Diceros bicornis minor: one gene and its partner. The protein of the gene in region 1 interacts with the protein of each later gene in a biochemical or structural test. Links are inferred from orthologs where the notes say so. Each region holds a gene or a part of one and is shown on either strand. Other genes may lie near its edges.

Region 1 (4,347 bases):
GCTGGGCCAGCCCACCAACCTGCCCATCTCTCTGCACAACGCAGTGAGTGCCTGTGGGGCCTAGAGCACTGAGAGGTCGTGGCAGGACTTGGACTTGGCACGAAAGGCCATCTTGCGGCTATTGCGTGCTACAATGCGGCCCAGGAAGCGCTTCGCCTTCTTGCCAAGGCTCTCTCGCCGCCCAGCTTGCCGACGTGCGTTGGCCTCTTTGCTGTCCCGACGCAGGCGTATCTGGCGCACGACACCTTCAAACAGTGCCTGGACGTTGTGGTGCAGCGCAGCTGACGTCTCAATGAACTTGCAGTCGAAGACCACGGCGCAGGCCCGGCCCTCTGGTGTGAGTGGGAACAAGCACACCCCAGTAAACAAAGGGTGGGTGGGTGAGGAGCCCATTTAAACCCCGACCACCCGATGGCAGCTAACACTCAGGAATCTGTGGGTAAGGGAAGGGGGAGCCCTGGGTCCTCCCCAGAAACACAGAGACCCCAGCTCCCATGCCTCCTAGGCATGCTCCCATGCCTAGGGAGAGTCCCAGGCAATGGCTGGGTCACCCAACTGGCAGAGTGTGCAGTGTTTGAGGAGCTCACAAAGACCCACAAAAGGAGACTCACTTACTGAAATAATTTGCAGTTTGATATGTAAATAGAAGTGCTGCGATAGTCAACACAGGTAAATGAGAACTTCATTGGACAGCTTAGTGTTTTGTGGTTTGATGTTACATCATAATGAATGACCGGTGGGGTGGGGGGGATGTCACCAAGTCATTGCTGGGTTCCTCTGAGAGGCTCAGTTCTGGGGGCCACAGGGGAGAAGCCCAAGAGGAGACGGTCCTCCCCATGGGCAAGCCTACACCAAGACTGGCCTGGGCCTGGAATCCACGCTCTGACCTCCTGGCCCGGTTCCCTGCATTCTCCTCACCCCTGGTCTGTCAGGCCATGGCCAAAGGGGACAGGAGCCGAGGGCCCTGAGGTGCCCCAGCTCAGCACCCAGCAGCCTCCACCTCTCCTAGCGCATTTAGTCTTTGCCCGAGCACTCTCAGGTCTTTGGGAGTACTCTGGGAGGGCAGCAGCTCTCCTGGTCTCCACCTCAAATTTTCTTCCTGAACATTTTTAGCCACTGATGATCCCTGGGGACTCAAGCTGAGTCAAGACTGAGTGGACCACAGCCCAGCCAGGATCTCCCTCCCTTTCCAACCCGCTCCCTACTCACCATCCAAGGAGACCTCACGAGAGCGCACCAGGTCGCTCTTGTTGCCCACCAGGATGATGGGCACATCGTCTGTCTGCCGTGCCCGCCGCAGCTGGACTCGCAGCTCTGAGGCCTTCTCGAAGCTGCCTTTATCTGTCACTGAGTACACGATGACATATGCATCTCCCATGGCCATGCAGTGGCCTGGTAGCCAGCGGCTCCCATCCTAGGGAACGCACACACACACATCTACCCAATAGTCCTCATGCCAAGGCTACAAGGCTGTCACTCTCAGCAGGCCCCTACCCCTAGCTCACCCCTCCCACCCTGCCCTGGATCTCAGCCTGCATCCTACCTGGTCCCAAATGTCATAGACCATGAGTGATGCCTCTTCTCCGTCCACCACGATGGAGCGATCGTATGTGTGCCCTAGGCGGGAGACCAGTAGTCAGGTTACCTACTACTGCCCACCATGCACAAGTTTTCCTGTTCTGGCTACACCCTCCAACTCCTCCCTAATGCCCCCCTAACCTTCCCCTCCACTGAAGGCTGCTATGTGGCAACAGAAGTGACAGGACTGGGAAGTGGGGGGTGGAGGGCATGGTGTGCCTGACCCCCACCTAGACTCCCCTTCCCCAAACTAGCAATGTCTTGGGTGGCCACTCCTGTGCTCCCTGCTCTCCTGTTGCCTGGGCCCCAGGGCAGCTCTGACCACAGTCACCTTTGTTAAAACAGGGACCGTCACATCTCCTAGGAGCCTTGGTCACCTAGGGCTCTTCTTGTAGAAACTCTTTCTGGCTGTGTTCTTGCCAGCCCTGGCAGGGAGGGATGTCCTATTCTCATTCTACAGAGTTGTCTATGTATGCCCTGGGCCTTCTATTCTGGGCATTTCTTCCCCTACCCATGGGAGTTCCTTTTCCCTTAGGTTCCCCATCTGTGAAACGGGTAGGTAGAGACATGTTTCTGAAAGTGCCTTCAGAATCCTATGCTATTCGCCGCTTTTAACACAGGTCCCCAGCCCTGCAGACTCCAGTCCTAAGCCTGGGATCTCCCCTCCCTTGAATAGTCCCGGCCCCTCACCTGCAGCCTCTGCTTCAGGCCCATCCTCTACACCACCGAAGATGCGCGCCAGAGCGCTCTTGCCCACGCCAGGCGCCCCTAGCAGCAGCACCTTGTAAACGCTCTCGTCTGAGTCGCTGCCCACTGAGCTGAGCGAGTCGGAGGAGCCCTCGGGCCAGTCCAGCCTTGGACCCTGGGCCCCGGTCCCAGCTGCAGCCGCTGCCCGAGCTCCCGGAGCCAGCGCCGCCTGCAGGTCGCGCTCGTCCACTGGCATGCTTCGGCGGTGCAGCGGGGGCGCGGGGCCCCAGGGGGTGCTGCCCCGACGGCGCTCGCGCTCCCGGCCCCCGCCGCGGCTCCCGCCCGCTCCGCTGCCGCCGCCATTCAGAGTCATCGCGTCTGACGCCGTCTGGGGAACGGGAATCGCCATGGCCGCGTGAGCCGCGGTGGAAATGGTATGAGAGGCTGGACCCCAGGCGCGCCTGCCCCATTCGGGGTCAGGCAAGATGGTGAGGCCGAGGACCTGCCGCAGTCCCCTCCCAGCCGTGAAGGTCCTTGCACCCTGACTGGTGACCCAGCCTCCCGACTCGTCCATCCGCAACCCAGACAGTGCGACCACCCGCACCCCGCTCGGCCAGGACACTCACCCACTGGCAGACGGAGACGGTCAAGACTAGTCTCGGGCTCGGATACAATCTACTCGCAGACCCCGGCTCGTGGACACTCGACGCTGCCGCAGCCGCCGCCTTCTCAGTCCGCACTGGGTCTGGGCTCCAGAGCCGCCTATTTAAGCCTCTGTCCGCCCCCGCCCCCACCCCCGCGCTCGCCCCCGTCCACGCGGATGCGGGGGCTGACGTGTCGGTCCCCCCCCCCCAGGGGAATCCCCTACCCTCCTCGGAGGACCTCACACCCATCAGGGCGGGGCAGGGACGGACTCGGCAGACAAAGCCCAGGTCTGAGTGTGTGGTTGGTGGGGGCAGAGAAGGGGGGAGGAGGAGGGAGAGTATGTGAATGGTGAGGGGCAGGGGGATCGGCGTGGAGGGTGCCATCATGGGTGAGGGCAAGAGGGAAAGCCAGAGCAGCCAAGTGCGCCAACTCCCCTCTGGGGAAGAATAAGGCTGGCCCTTTAAAAGTGAATTTTCCCTTCTCTCTCCCCAAGTCCTGGCCTGTTGCCCAAGCAAGCAGACCAGTTATAGGCTGGACAGACTTCACCCCTCTCTGCCCATGACACCCACTCCCCACTGGCCCATATCTGAGCTAGACTGTAGGGGTTCTGGGCTTCTAGCCTCAACACCAAGTCCTTCCCCGTCCCCTCCCTGCCCTGGGGAGTTGAAGATTCTACCTGATGAGCCTGCCCTCCAGGGTGAGGGTTACTGTCACCCCATGAGCTCCTGGGGGCCCCTAGAGAGCTGTTTGGGGAGGGGGCAAGGAAGGGAGGCCTCTGGCTGTGTGTTGCAGGTAGAGGTGCATGCTTGAATCCTGGGGAGGAATACAGGCCCAGAGAAGGGAAAGAATGAACCACCTCACCCCCCAGCACCTTCCAGGCAGCTGCCAGCAACTTGCTAAAAATACCTGGCCCTGGTCATTCCGCTCCTGGTCGTTCCACTCCTCGGCTGGAGGTTGCCCAAACTTGAGGAAATCCTGGCAGACAGGTGTCAGATGCCAGCAGGAGCGGGTAGGGGTGGGACTGGACCAGGGTCAGGGCTGGATCCAGCCACTTGAAGAGTCTTCAGTGTCTCTCTCCTTCCCTCCAGCCCCAGACTGGGCCTTCTGTTCAGGGCACATGCAGGGCCTGGAGAGCCAGACTCGCATCCAAGAGGGACACAGGTGTAGAGTATGGTGGGGAGTGGTTAGCCACTACTGCCCAGAGCTTACCTCCTCCTTAGACCTAGGGTGGGCACAGGGGCACAGAGGGGGGACATGTAATGGGAAGGCTTGGTTTCTAGTCCCGGCTCTGCCTCCAGTCTCCTGGGTCTTGCCTCCCTCCCAGGCTCAGATTGCCCAGCTATAAATTGGGGTGTGTGAGGGGCCAGCCCTGTGGCATAGCGGTTAAGTGTGCGCACTCCGCTGCTGGTGGCCCGGGTTCGGATCCTGGATGCGCAC
Region 2 (4,347 bases), on another chromosome or scaffold:
GATGTCTGCCAAAGAGCCCAGCCCACCACACTGTCCCCCCACCCTAGGGGAGGAGGGCATCTGACTGCCCACATATCTCTATGGCAACCACTGCCTCCTATTCAAGGTACCCAGAGAGAAATAAAACAAATAAGTCAACTTTATAGCCAATGTAGAGGAACAGCAAGCGATGGGGGCTGGGAGGGAGACAGCAAGACAAACCCTGCTTGTGGGGATGGAGAGAGGCCCTCCTAGCCAGGAGGCAGATATGGCCCTGCTAAACAGGTCCCAGAATAATTGTCAATATGACAGAAGCCCACTGTTATCTCTGTGGAATTTTATAGCTTCTCCAATGCTTGGAGACATCTATTACACCTCTTACGCCAGATATGCCCAGGTCATTACTAGCCGTGGCCCATGTCTTCCCCAGGGCATCTGTCCCAGCTCCTAATACATGGCATCCTATTGCCCAGCCCTAATTCCTTTCTCTGAGTCTCATAACCTTTGTCCCCTTGCTGCACCCCTCAATGACCTGACCCATCCACATACCTCCGTACTCACCAGACCTGTATACAGAGCACTTCACACATTGCCGGGTCTATACCTATCAGATGAGGCGAGTTTGGCAAGCACCCAATATAAAGTTCAGGGAGTGTAGATTGGAGGCGTGCGAGACAGAGCCTGACGCTCCTGGCCTCAGGTACTTGGGAGGATCTTGCAAGTCAGGCTGCAAGGCCTGGGCCTTCACAATCCCCAGACCCTGAGGCAATACTACTCCCACCCAGACCAAGCCATTGAGATTTCCAGACCATGAGGCATCACCCCCCACCCAGGACAGACTGCATCTGCTACTGCACCACCAACTTTGTAATTTGATCAAAAAAGCAATCAAGTTCATCTGGCAGGATTTGTTCCTGAGAAGCCCTCGCCAGTAGCAGCCTCCCCTGATGTTTACAGATTCCCTTCCCTTGGGAGTCTGTTCTGCCGCCTGGTGGGCAGGGGGAGGCTAGATTTGTCAGAGCTGTTCACTTACTACATTTCCATCTTAAGTCACCACTGGGGCACAGGGACTAAGACAGGCTACTTAGGAGTGGTTACCACTGCCCCAAACGCAGAGACTTCAAGTGCCCCAAATTAAGAGCTCTCCATTCCATGCCACCCACCATTCCCCATATCGTCCCCCTCCCTCAAAACCAAACTCCTTTGAGCCTTTAGGGACCACTCGTCCCTGCAGCTACCTACATCTCTTACATTTTCTTCCTTCTTTTCTACCTGAGCACTTCCAGTTCCCTATGCAACTCCTTGCCTGGCTTCAAAGTCCACCCACCCTGAAATTCCAACCCTTCTCCAAGTGCTAAAACATAAGCCTCCAACTCCTGGAGCATCTTCAGAAGAAGACACAGCCCTTGGAGGCACCCCAGGGAGAGACCAAGATGGGGAACTCACCCCGGGCAGACAACTTCTTGGTATTGATGATTTTTGCTGCATACTCCTGCGTGGAGGTTTTCTTCACACACCTGCGGACCACAGAGAAAGCACCCCTGGAGGGAGAAGGGGGAAAGAACTGGGACACCGAGCAGAGTGACACAGACACGCTTCAGGTCTGAGGACAGCGATGCTCCTATCACTAGACCTTTAGTCAAAATCACACCCACACCAGCATAGCGACCATCACGATCCAACACCGGGCAGAAAGATGTGGCCACTGTGGGACACTGAACAGATGTGGGTGGAGGACCACCCCCACTCCTACTCCCACATCTAGTGGTTGAGCAAAGCAACAGCCCTAACAGGGCTGTATGTCAGGAGCTGGTGGGCGATGCTTAAAACACACACCTGCTGCATCTCAGGGACAGCCCTGCGGTCCGGCCAAGAGAACCAGGAGAAGGGAACAGAGACCCTGCCCTTCTCTCAGCAGACATAGTTGAGGGTAGAGGAAGGAGAGATTAGAAAGAGGGTGTAATCCCCTAAGAAAGAAATCTCCCTCACCCAAGGAGGAAGGCGAGGAAAGTGAGGGTCAAATCCCCTATAACTGGCTTGATCCCACTGCATCCCGGCTCAACTGACAGCAAAGAAAGAGAGGATGCTGTTATGGGTCTCAGACATAAATAGCTCCCCTTTCCCAAGATATTTTCCTCTACTTCTCCCCCAAATGGGAGCTCGCACTCTTCAGCTCTGGAAACGTCTAGGGGGGCGGGCAGGGCGGGGGCTGCAGTGGCCGGGCTCGGCGCCGCGGGTGGGGGGGGGGGGCCGGGGCTGCTGCAGCGGCCAGCTCAGTGCGGAGGGGAGGGGGATGCTGCGGCTGCGGCGCGCGACTCCCGGGACCACTGCAGGAATGGGGGGAGGGGACAGGGGGTGCTGCAGTACTGCCCAGCAGCGGGGCTGGGATCCTGGAAGCGACACTAGCGGGGGGGCGGGGCCGGGCACCAAACATCCCCCCACAGCCGGGCACCGCAGCACGCTTGGAGCTGCAGGACCAGGGAGGGTCCTGAGTGCCAGGCGCGCGGGACATGGGACAGGGTGCTGAGTGAGCTCCTGAGCAGGGTGGGGAGCGGGTGGCTAGCAGGCGGGGTCGGGATGGGGGGCGCCTGAAGGGTGCGGGAGGGGCGGGGCTGGAGGGCGCCCAGGAGCGGTCCGGGGGCTGCAGTCCCCGCGGCAGCGCGGGGTGCAGCAGCCCGGGCAGCTGCTGCAGGGCGCGGAGGGGGCTGCGGGACAGGGAGCGGGGGGCGAGGGGGCCCCGGAGGCAGCGGGCGGGAAAGGCTGGGGGTGGGGCAGGCCGAGGGGGCGCTGCAGCGGCCGGTGCAGGGCCGGGGGGCGGGGCGAGGAGCCGCATAGCGCCCGGGCGGCGGGGGCAGGGTGGGGGGCCGCGGCTGGTGGCAGGCGGGCCGTACTTGCCGAGCTCCTCGAAGAGCTGGTAGTCGTCGGTGAAGCGGGTGCAGGTGGCGGTGGTGGCCATGCTGGCGGGCGGGCGGACGCGGCGGTGCAGCCCGCGCCAACGTCGGTGCACAGTCACCGCCGCCCGGCCGAGGGAGCAAGAGGAGGAGACGGGGCTGAGCCCGGCAGCACCGCGAGACTTTACCGGAGAGAGCGAGGGAGGGAGGGACACCCCCGCGGCTGCCCGCCCCGCCCCCAGCCCTGCCGGCCCCCCCCCACGCCCCGCCCCCGGCCCGCCCCCGGGGAGGGGCCTCCTGCCGCCGGCCCCGCCCCGCCCCGGAGCGGCCAGGGCTGGGCGGCGCGCGCTGGGGAGCTGAGGGGAGGGGGGTCCCAGCCTGGGGCCACCCAGAGGGAGCTGAAATGTTCGCGACCTGTGGGCTTGTCCCGGGGCGGACCCTGCAAGGGCTCGGGATGTGCGTGCGAGTGTGTGTGTATTGGGATCCTGTAGGGGTCTGGACCACCGACTTCTCTGGCGGGCCCCGCACACGGGTCCTAAGCCCCCATCCCGGCTCACACCTTGTGGAGAAAGGGCCAAGGTCAAAAAGCCTGTGTCAGACTGCACACTCTGGCCCTAGCCTGTGCAGAGCCAGCTCTCAGCAGCTTTCCCTCGGGAAGCTGACAGTCTAGACTTGTGTAAGCATCACGGCCATTATTAGATAAAACCCTTCAGGCACGGATTGTTCAGGGAGACCAGGACATGGCCAAAGATGCAGGTGGAACTCTGCCTGCCTGCACTCCAACCTTAGAGATGAGAGAATGTTCTCTCTCTGGCCAGCAATGCAAAGGATGAAGTGGGACCGATTAGAAAAGGCTTTATGCCATGTGGGCTAGAAGAGCAAGCAGAAGGAAGGAGCAAATATCCCCATTCTCTTGCAGGCACCCTGTATTTTTATTTTATGGCACTCATCACATTTTTGTAATGATATGTTTACAGATATGAGAGGCAGTAGAGCTAAAGCATGGTTGTCTAAAGAGTGAACTCTGGGCTGGGCTTGGATTTCTAGGCAACTCACTGACCAGCTGTGTGACGTTGGGCAAGTCACTTAATCTTTCTGTGCTTCAGTTACCTTATCTGAAAACTGAGAAGAAAACAAGTTGTGAGTAGTAAATGGGCTAAATCACATAAAGCACTTAGAATAGTACTGGCATCTAATTATAGCAGTTAGCTGTTATTATTTGTTTAACATTTGCCTTCCCACTAAATTGTAGGCTCTAATAGGGCAGGGCCTCTGCCTCCCTTGTTCACTGTTGTATACTCAAGCCCCAGACCCTCAGTAAATATTTGTGGAATGAAGGGACTCCTTGGGGCCCTGGCAGAGGGAGTTACCATCCCTTCCTCTGTCCCCACTGTCAGAGGATGGTAGGACGGAGGCACATAACTGTCTCGGTGGAGGAGAAACAGGCTAGGCAGGTTCCTGACCTGCCCAGGCAGCT

The links. The genes of interacting proteins can lie anywhere in the genome.
Region 2: of the proteins of RRAD (region 1) and CAMK2G, one has a biochemical effect on the other in vitro, tested with the Homo sapiens proteins (2 studies listed by BioGRID, with this or other methods). The link is inferred for Diceros bicornis minor from reciprocal best matches to the Homo sapiens genes RRAD and CAMK2G.

Annotation. Positions count from the first base shown.
Region 1 is NC_080771.1:18,868,525-18,872,871, forward strand, and holds the start of RRAD (GTP-binding protein RAD), read right to left. Parts: upstream 2,991-4,347; 5' UTR 2,840-2,990; coding exon 2,269-2,839; intron 1,618-2,268; coding exon 1,544-1,617; intron 1,415-1,543; coding exon 1,210-1,414; intron 333-1,209; coding exon 61-332; 3' UTR 1-60. UniProt on the Homo sapiens protein: May regulate basal voltage-dependent L-type Ca(2+) currents and be required for beta-adrenergic augmentation of Ca(2+) influx in cardiomyocytes, thereby regulating increases in heart rate and contractile force.
Region 2 is NC_080745.1:32,813,599-32,817,945, reverse strand, and holds the start of CAMK2G (calcium/calmodulin-dependent protein kinase type II subunit gamma), read right to left. Parts: upstream 3,004-4,347; 5' UTR 2,936-3,003; coding exon 2,871-2,935; intron 1,521-2,870; coding exon 1,426-1,520; intron 1-1,425.